Linked DNA regions of Drosophila melanogaster. The protein of the gene in region 1 purifies or fractionates together with the protein of each later gene. This does not show direct contact. Each region holds a gene or a part of one and is shown in the gene's direction. Other genes may lie near its edges.

Region 1 (5,165 bases):
TCTTTCGGGCACAGAATTTCACAGTTGGCATCTTCGAACTTCATCTTTGACTAACTTGGCTGGAGCCCCACCCTGGCGAATAATTGGCACTCGCCTCGAATTTAAATGATTCTGGCATTCCTTGAATGCACTGACAGAAACTCTGGCATCTCATGGGCTTGAAAGTACGAGAACCTCCCATTGAAGAATCTATTGATTTCTCAAATCAGCATATCGTTTTCTCTGCGTGTATCTTCCCAAAAGGAGCGGTTTAACCACCCCGCAGCTCATGACTAAAATTTAAACAGCTCCATAATAGTCGGCCGTAATAATTAATTGTTTGCTAATAAATATGAGTTTATATATGTATATAGGAAGAGCTCAAATAATAAAAAATAATAAGCGCACGCGCCGCGTCTCCAATGACTAAGTCTCCTTTCAGTCTTCGAGTACGCGATAAATGCGAATGTACATATATACGTATGTATCTAGATACGTAGTTCGAGTGTACGAGGTACACATACGAGTGCCGAGTATAAGTATAAATTGTAAATCAGATACGGCATAAATATTGAACACATGGCGCAGTAGTTTATACACCCAAGAGTTGTGGGTGTTCGATGGCTGCAGGGGGGGTGGGGGTGGGGTAGTTGAGGGGCACGGAAGGAACTGAACAAAATTGAAATAAAATAAAGCACCATAAAACGTACTTAAGATTGACGATTGTGTTTTTTGGGGGAGCGATCAATGAAAGAGTTTCGATGAAGACAATATATGGCAAGTACAGTTGAGCTCTTTTTTGGATTTGGGCATTCGTGTTGTCTGCAAAGGGTTATTGATAATTCTATGCTCTTCCCAATTTAGTTAATATTCTTTTATTACTAAATTATGAGGGAATTTTTGTGTCTGATTTCGAGACGGGGGAACAATCGAAGGAGCCAGAAAGCGACCGAAGAACGCGTTGAGTAAATGCACATTCTGGAATATTTATATAGTACATTTGAATATATATGTACTTGATTAGATATAATTGGCTGTCAGTATGTCTCTTGATCGCTCCACTCAATCGCACCAATACTCGGATTCGGATACCGAGCAACCGCACAGATACATTTTCGAAACAAACAAAATGTCGGCAGCTGCTTGTTGTGTTAGCTTATAAATTAAAACGCGTTTCATGGCATTATTATTTGATGGTTTTTTACTTTTTTTTTTTTCGTCTTATGGCTGCTCAATTCATTCGATTGTTCGTATATTCACATTCTTTTTAGCCCATTCGTACCCATATACCCCCGATATCGCTCACACCTCCTTCCCCCCCTTCTCCGCTCGGTTCATCTGTCCGCCTGTCTGCTAATTGAAAATCAATTAATGTGACTGCATCCTATAGCTGCTCATGTCAAAGTCAGATATCATCCAGGGTAGGGTAAATTCGATGGAATAAGGGAATGAAAACAAGAGAAGGAATTCAAGACTCAACGACTCAGATTCAGAATCCGAATCAGAATCCTTTTGTTTTCACTGACCTTACTGTCTGAAAACAAAAACCCAATTGATGTGCCCCAAGTAACACTCTGATAATTACCGAAAAACTCCAAATTTTTCGATTGCTTTCGACTTTGGCAGTATTCATCGCCAAGTTCATTGGGTTTTCGAGTGCGTCCCGCGAATCGCTTTCGTTTGGTGCGGAATTTGGCACAAGTTTTGTATGCTCAACTACTGGGAAGGCCAATCTGGGGCTTCTAATTCCACTGTGCGGGTAATTTGGGGACTCTTGCCAGTTACTAGTTACCTCCCAATACGAATCACTGATTTCTCACCTCCTGCCACTCGCTTCTTGCTTCCGTTGCAGGTCAACAAACAGTATTCGGCCACCGATCTGGAGGCTTTTATGAAGATTGCCGCCAACTGGCAAAATTCCAATCACAACTTGCTGGAGGGCGTCGACATAAAGACGGGTAAGTTAAACAAAACGAAGTGACCGTTGAAGGAACTTAATTCAATCATCGAATGCTTGCAGAAATGACACAGTACATGAACAGTCCTTCCATGAACATGTACAAGAAGAGGGAACGCACCCAGAACTGGAACCACCAGGAGAAGAAATACCTACTCGATCTGTGTCGCAAGGACATGCGCATTATCGAGAACAAGAGATTGGATGCCGGTCTGACCGCCGTGAAGAACAAGGCATGGAAGATTATCCACCAGAAGTTCTCCAATCAGTTTGGCACCGATCGCACCTGCAATCGCCTGAAGGAACAGTGGCGTCGCATGAAGGGTAAGTCTTTATAAAATACATATATTTAATGGCAAAGCTAACCTTTTCGATCTCATCCTTTAGCATGTACTCGCAACGAGATCCTGGACTACAATAATCGCCTGGCCAGGTTTGGAGCAGAGGTGGCCGATCGCAAGAAGCCATCTCCGTTCACCTTCGAGGTGTGGGATTTCATGCAGGAGGCGAAGAAGGCATGCAAATCGGAGGCCCTGGATGGCATTGATTACTCTAAGATTCCACTGGCCTTGGAGGAGGGTTTTGAGTATCGTGAGGATTACAAATTCAATCCCGAAGACCACGACATGGATGAGTAAGTTGATCGCTATGTGGTAGTCTGAATAGATCTTTATTGAGCATTCTCTATTTGAGCAGCAGCCGCACACCGCCGCAGGAACTGTGCGATGTGGACATCAAGGAGGAGGAGAACAACGAGACCTTCAACGAGACCTTCAACCATCACCACCTCAACCAGAGCGACATCCTTGGCAGCGGCGAGCGTCTCAGTGTGTCGCCTAATCACAGCATCAGTCGCAACGGGATCCACGAGGCCGAGAGTCCCGCCACGATTTCCACATCTAATGTCCTGGACTCGAGCGGTGCCTATATGGCCGGAGGAGGTGACATGTCCGGCTTCCAGGCCAACTTCAACATGAACAACATATCCGCCACGCTGGAGGCACTGAATGCCCTCCGTTCTGGCCAATTTCCCAGTGCAGCAGCAGCGGCAGCGGCCGCCATTCACCAGCACCAGGCACAGGCCCAGGTCGCCATGCATCACCAGCACAATAACAACAACAACAATAACAACAACAACGAGGACGACGAGGACAGCATGAAGCCGCAGTCTAAGAGACAGCGCACCAGCAGTGGTAGCATGTTGGGCAGCGAGGATCAGGCACCAGTCCTGGCCCCATCAGTGCCAGCATCCTCGGACTCGCAGGCCCTAGAGCGGTCCGGCAGCAGCAATGGATTGACCATGCCGGGAACGGCAGTCAGCACCAATGCCAACAGCAGCAGCAGCAACAACAACAACTTTGAGCTGCGCATGTTCATGGAGATGCAGAGCAAGGAGCACATGATGCGCATGAAGATCCTGGAGGTGCAGTTGCAGGCGGCAAAGCACAGTCGCGACCTAGTGGAGATCAACAAGACACTGGCGCTGCAGAAGCTGCAGTTGGAGCTGGCCAGCAAGCGACTGCCCAGTTAGGAGGCAGTGCAGCAGCAAAAGGAGCAGCAGCAGCAACAGCAGCAGCAGCCCATCGCCGTTTCATGTTACATTAGTTTATAGAAATAAAGCCTGTCAACTCGGTCACGTTCGCAGGCAGAGAGCGTGATTGGGAATCGACTAGAGTTAGCACTAGAGTTAGTCTTAAGTTGAAAGCAGGATCCACAGCTACACATCCAGACCCGACACACAGAGAGACATTCCTGGCATTGTTGATCAGTATTTGAAAGCTAGAAGCGAAACCCGACACACAGAACCGAACCCAAGAACCCCAGCGAGGATCAGGAGGCGCTCGGAAGTATGCCATAATCTTATGATGATGATGACGATGATGATGATGAATCGCCTACCTCACAAGCACACACACACACACACACACAATATGCACACACTCAGCTAGCAGACACACACACACAGACACACTCTCTTCTGGCCTAACCAGCACTTGACCAAGTCAAGTCAAGTTTAGTTAGTTTCTAGTTTTAGTTCGTATGGGAACCACTCTCTCCAAGTTGCTCAACTACCACAAATGTATTGTACTTACGTTCTTGACCTCTGCTACCCCACAACTAACGATTTGAACGAACATGAAATGCACACAAGATTATTTTTCATAGTCCTAAGAGAAGAACCTTATATATGTCAATGCATCATACACAATCGGCAGTTGTCTCTGATTTTGATTCTTACTTGAACTTGTATTTATTTGTATCTTTGTATAGACTATGTTGATATATATATGACCCTATATATGTTTGTTTCAATGCCATATTACATGAAAGTTCTTTTTAATTCATATTTTCCGTTTGCGCTGCAAAACAAATTGTTACCATATATAATATATGATATGTATGTACCCTACGTATAAGCAGGCTTGAAGAAGGCCGCCAACTCGGCTTCAGTTGTCGTAGAAGACTTCTTTGTAAAGCGTGTAAATGAGAGATACAAATTATTTTAAATAAAATACAAAACAAAACAAGCAAATGTTTCAGCTACACTTTATTAATTTTGTTCATGGTTCATCTGTGAGCCTTCGGTCTTGGTTTTTTCCAACGATTGTATCTGCTTATCCACCTTGATGATCTTTGTTGTGACTTCGTTCTTCTGGCTGAGAATCTTTTCTCGCAACGACTTCAGCTGTTCCCGTTGCTGGGTAAATTTGCAATTAAATTTAAATAGATTACTTTCGTTTTTTGAGATCACAAACCAACCAGTTTAAGGAAATGTATGTTCTCCTCCGCCCTGGCTTTTTCGAACAAATGCTTGGATATGTTCCTGGATACAGAGATGCATCTAATAAGCGAAGCCATAAGTGCTCAGAACACGGAACTCACTTGTTGGATTGTGAAAACTGACACATCCTGGGTCGCAACAGTTGGAAAAGCTTTTCGACCAACTTCAGCATTGTATCCTTACGGAGGAAGATAATTTGGAATTTACTATAGTAACTGATGAGGTATTTCAAGGTGGAATATTGACAAACTTAAAAGTGATAGCCTACCGTTTGATAGGTCATTTTTCGAGACTCTTTTTGAATTGCTCCAACAAATCCTTCAGAGCTTTCAATTCCTTTAGCAGATTCTCCTTGTGTTTCCTTGATTTGTGGCTAGTTTTGGATTCCAAAATCTTGATCTCCTCTTTCAATTTGACGATATCATTGGCGATTTCTTTAACCCTGTT
Region 2 (4,711 bases), on another chromosome or scaffold:
CTCTCCCGGCAAAAGTTAAATTATAAAATCGTCAAAAGTTGACGAAGACATTTTGCGCCTATGAAAACAAATACACGAGGAAAGTGCTCCACTAAAAAATAGGAGGGAAATGCGGGAGCAGGAGCCACTTAAGATGCTTAGCGCCATGGCAAGCGAAAATAATGACGCTCATAAAAACTAACTAAACACCAAAATAAAGCAAATATATATAGGTATATATATATATACATATATTTGTTGGGCTGGCTTTTTTAAGCTGGAACGACGCTCTCTGAATGACAACGATAATGATGTGCGATAATGTTTGTTGTTTCTTCGTTTGCTTATTTATTGTACTTATTCGTTTATTGTACTTTTTCATCCCACAGTGCTGGAAACAATGATAATGATAATAATGAAGATGTTATTGTGTTTCTCCTCTTTGTTGTTGTGCAATCTAAGACAACTGTCAAAGACTTTGCCAAAGGATTAGTCGACTCGGCGCCTTTCGCCCTGCTATACCCTGTAAAAGTTGCGCTAAGGATATATTACACATGGAGTAATTTGGATCAAATATGGGTTACCAATTTTTTTTTTTAATTTTTAATTTTTTTTAATATCATGTTGCATTTACGATAAAGAAATTTGCAACTGAGAGATTTTTTTTTGATTAATGACAAAAGGACATTTCAAGAAAAGCCTTTTTGAAATCGATTTAAAATTTAATTCATTTGTAAATGGTACTATAAAGAAGTTTTAAGTTAGGGATATATTAGGATATTAGGGATATTATCATATTAGGGTTTTGGAAATTGAAATATGAGGAGAAAATATATAATATAATAATATATAAGTAACATAATCTTTATAAAATTTGTTAACGTTTATAGTAGTATTTATTTTGGAAATTTTAAATCTACAACCATATAGCAATGATTTCAAACAATTCATGTAAATATTCTTCGAAATATTCATGCAAATTTGAAAGAAAGACTCCATGTAATCATCAAAAAGTAGCTTCCTACATTTTCTATAAACAACACAATAAGATACGGGGTATTCTCGCAGTCGCAACGAGTTTGTGTATCTCGTGACTGGTGTCTTTGCTCCTTGCCATTACTTTCGACCTGCTCCTATCGCAGTCGTAATTAAAATTGCACCAGACGTAGTGAAGTTTTGTACTTTCTTCGGCATCAGATAGTCCTGGAAGCCTCCCCTTCAATTTAATCGCTTTGACTGCATGCTGGTTGTAATTTATTTATTGCCGAAAATCGTACCCTCTACTCTTGATTTGCCCCTGCCGCCGCTCGTTGTATTTTTTAATTGATTAGAAACTCGAGTTTTGTTTTCTTTCTTTGCCTTCAATTGGCATCGAGCCAGGAAATTTTCAGCCTCATTGAATTTCTTTCGGTTTTTTTTCCACTCACCCTCTTGACTTTCTTTCTCGACTCGCCAATTTTAGCAAATTACTTTCTTGGCAAAACTTTTATATTTGTTGATTCATTTATTGCTAATGTCAAACGTTCGACTTGGTGAGCTGAACGACTGATATGAATCAGTGATAGCAATCAATTATGGTATCCAATTCATTTGCTTTTTTTTAAATTTAATTTAGTTTTATTTTAGCAAAGTTCATAAAAAATAAAAAATGAACAGCGAGAGCTTTGCATCCCAGTTGGCTGCGCTAACGCTTGTCAAATCGATTCAATATAGATTTTTAGTTGTAGTGTTTCCAAATCAGATTGTGTAACGTACATATAATTTTATAAAAGTTTATCAATTTTTCGGCTTATTGGTGGCAAAATTCTCAATGTGTTAACCTTTCGGCCGTACCGCGTCACTCTTCCATGCTTTTATCAATAATTCTTAAGAAGAAAATCTACAAAAAAATATACAAAGTATTTACCCCCACAAGACTACAAATGAAATAGCCCAGTTATCCGCTTTCGGCTACAAATTCTACAAGTGTAAAAAGGAAAATAAGAAGAAATATAGCAAATTCCCGCAGCAAGTGAAATAGGTGAGTGCAAGAAAGTTCTTCAAGTGTTCAGACCAAAAGCGGATATTCTAGTTGTCCTTGAGTGTGAATGGAAAGTGGGTTGGTGTGCTGTGAACTCGTCCTGTGTGCTGTGTGTGTGTGAGTGGGTGTGTGCGACACGGTGCTTGGGCTTCCACGCTGCATGACAGATTATCGCAAGGACCTTGCCGTCCTTTGAGTGTCCTCGACGGTTATTGAAATTGCTGCAATTGAGTTCGGAGTGCTCGAAGCTATTTAATTGCTGCCGCCTGCCTCCAAGAACTTGCTTTTCACCACTTCTGTCGAAGATGAGCTAACTATTTTGCTGATTTTTGGTGGATTTTAATCTTTATATCTCAGAAATATACTATCGAATATAATCATCTATACTTAATTTCAATATAAATGCTGGTAAATTTTTGAAAAGTGTATATAATATTGCTTAAAAAATGTTCAATATGTAAAACTCTTAAATGACTTATAGTTAGTTTCTAGTCCTTGTTCCATCCACTGTGTCTAATCGAAGCTTTTTGGCCATCTCTGGTTCGGGTCAATAGGAAAGGAGTAGGGAACAGAAGGAGCAGCTAAAAGTCCTCTTCTTTTTCCCGCAGGTGTTGTAAGCCAGCAACGAGTCCTGGAACTGAGCCAAAGCTGCTTTCTCTCAAGTGCTAACTAATTTCGTTGTTGTCCTTACCGCCTCTGCTCCACATCTCGGGCCCAAGGATGCTCTCTGCATCCTCGGGCTTAGCCTCATTCCCTGGCTCATCCTCATCATCGGCGTCTTCCTGCAGTTTCGTTTTTGGTGTCAGCAACATTTCTTCAACTGGTTTCGTTTGCCCTGCCAGTCAGGTTGTTGTCCTTTTTGGTCCTCTGTGTCCTTTATAGAGTTCTATGCGATTTTTCTCTTGTTTTTGATTTTTATTTTTTCATTTGCTCCTTCGTAGTGCAATCTTTTTGGCAAACTCTTGTGTGGCGCACAGTTGTTGACTCTGTTTCGGGGCCAAGCCAATTCCTTTTTGGCCTGGCCAAGTCATCTCTTGGCTTGTTTCGGCGTTTTATGCACTTGTGTGCTCCATACCTTTGGTCCACCCCTTTGCCAAATACGCTCTACACATATGATCTGGCTTCTGTTTCGAATTTTTATGGCCGTCGTCTCAGTTGTCCTTTCTTAACTTGGCCGAAAGTTGAGTTTCCTTCGTTGGGGCAAGATGTCTCATTTGGATCGTAACACTTAGCTTAATGTTTACGACGTTTGCCGTGAAAATAGTTTTCAACTGAAGTGAAATAGGAGGTTTTATAGTTTTGTTCGGGTGTATATTTTGCGAATAATAATGTTCCTCCTAATGACCACAAAAAAGGAATAAACGTTTCCTATATAGAAATTTTTTTTCTATTTCATAGAAAAAATCTTCTATTCTTCGATATGTTCAATTTCAGATCATAGCAACTCTTCATATATTTATCAGCTTTATAATTTTATGAAAAAAAGTAATATTTAAGTGAAATCTTTTTGCTTTCAAGATTTGAAATTAAATAAAGCTTTTATTAAAAGCTTTTGCGTCAAAGCTTCAACGTTGCTAATGGCAGAAGCTCTCTCAAGATCAGCTGTTTCTCAATGCCGAGCATGTGGTTGGTTTCGTTGTGAATGCCAAAAACAACAGCTGATCGCGCGGCGTGGCAGAGCGAAAAAGTAAAAATCTCTCTTCGTTTTTATCGAAATCGGCGCAGTTTCGCCTAATTTCTGCGGTGTTTTCGTGCAACACGACTGTTTGCCGATTGTAAATAGGTGTAAAACAACTTAAATGTGATTAATTTTGCAACTAAATCTGGACAAGTGAGTTGTTACGACATCGGTGCACCAAGTAAAGTTGTCTAACCCAAAATTTTCCCAGATAAAACGGCGAAAAACAAGTCAACTAAGAGAAGTTCTCTTCTTCAACGCCGATCTTCGCTCCAACATTTGCAACATTGATGGGGTTTTTTTTGTTTAAAAACATAGTTCGCAATTCTGATAAATTATTCGGAAATAAAACTCCAACTAGAGTTTCGCTATTGTCCAGATTTTGTGGCACTTCCTTGGCTGGTAAAATGGAGAAGGTTTATTTGAGAAATGCAAGTGATACCAAAGAATTGGACATTGTGTTTCGCTTTGTGAATGAGAATTTGAAAATAAACCGGGAATTCAATTTCCGTCGCCAGATGAATGAGCCCATTGATGCGATATTGGCCAGGATTCAGAGTAATATTATTGGCAGGCTTGCAAAGTCCTGCAAAAAATCAAAAATCAAACCGCCGGCAGAAATCAATGTTAAACTTCTGAGTGACAAATATGGTGAAAAATTCAATGAATTAACATTTGAGGATCTAGTCGTCACCCAAGATATCAGCAATGTAAAACTGCAGGTATTAGATACGGTCTACGATTTGGTGTTCAATCCACCGTGGATTTCATCCCTAAAATTTTTGCCCTCATGCATATTGGCAGGATTTGTAATATACCCCACCAATGTTCAGATACAATTCGGAGAACGTCAGTTCAGCAAAGCAGTTTGGTTCAAGGCCAAAAAGCCCACAGACACCGATTGGGAGGTGTGCGGAGAAGGATTTCAATATCTAGTGACTCCTGAGGATATTGGTTACCATTTGAAGTTCGTGGTGACGCCGGGTAATGCACTGGGAATGACGGGTCCTGTGGTGGAGAAGATAACCAACTCT

What was found. The genes of interacting proteins can lie anywhere in the genome.
Region 2: the proteins of apt (region 1) and bru1 purify together in Drosophila melanogaster (affinity purification with western blotting, with the first as the bait; one study listed by BioGRID). This does not show direct contact.

What each region holds. Positions count from the first base shown.
Region 1 is NT_033778.4:23,595,061-23,600,225, forward strand, and holds apt (apontic), read left to right. Parts: upstream 1-1,531; 5' UTR 1,532-1,687; coding exon 1,688-1,738; intron 1,739-1,831; coding exon 1,832-1,937; intron 1,938-1,999; coding exon 2,000-2,260; intron 2,261-2,323; coding exon 2,324-2,570; intron 2,571-2,632; coding exon 2,633-3,467; 3' UTR 3,468-4,466; downstream 4,467-5,165. Other genes in the region: CG42560 (uncharacterized protein), read right to left, coding at 4,488-4,634, 4,697-4,760, 4,820-4,890; CG42559 (uncharacterized protein), read right to left, coding at 4,998-5,165.
Region 2 is NT_033779.5:12,204,132-12,208,842, forward strand, and holds the start of bru1 (bruno 1), read left to right. Parts: upstream 1-1,711; 5' UTR 1,712-1,999; intron 2,000-3,577; exon of another isoform or gene 3,578-4,084; coding exon of another isoform or gene 4,085-4,711. Other genes in the region: CG31759 (uncharacterized protein), read left to right, coding at 4,085-4,711.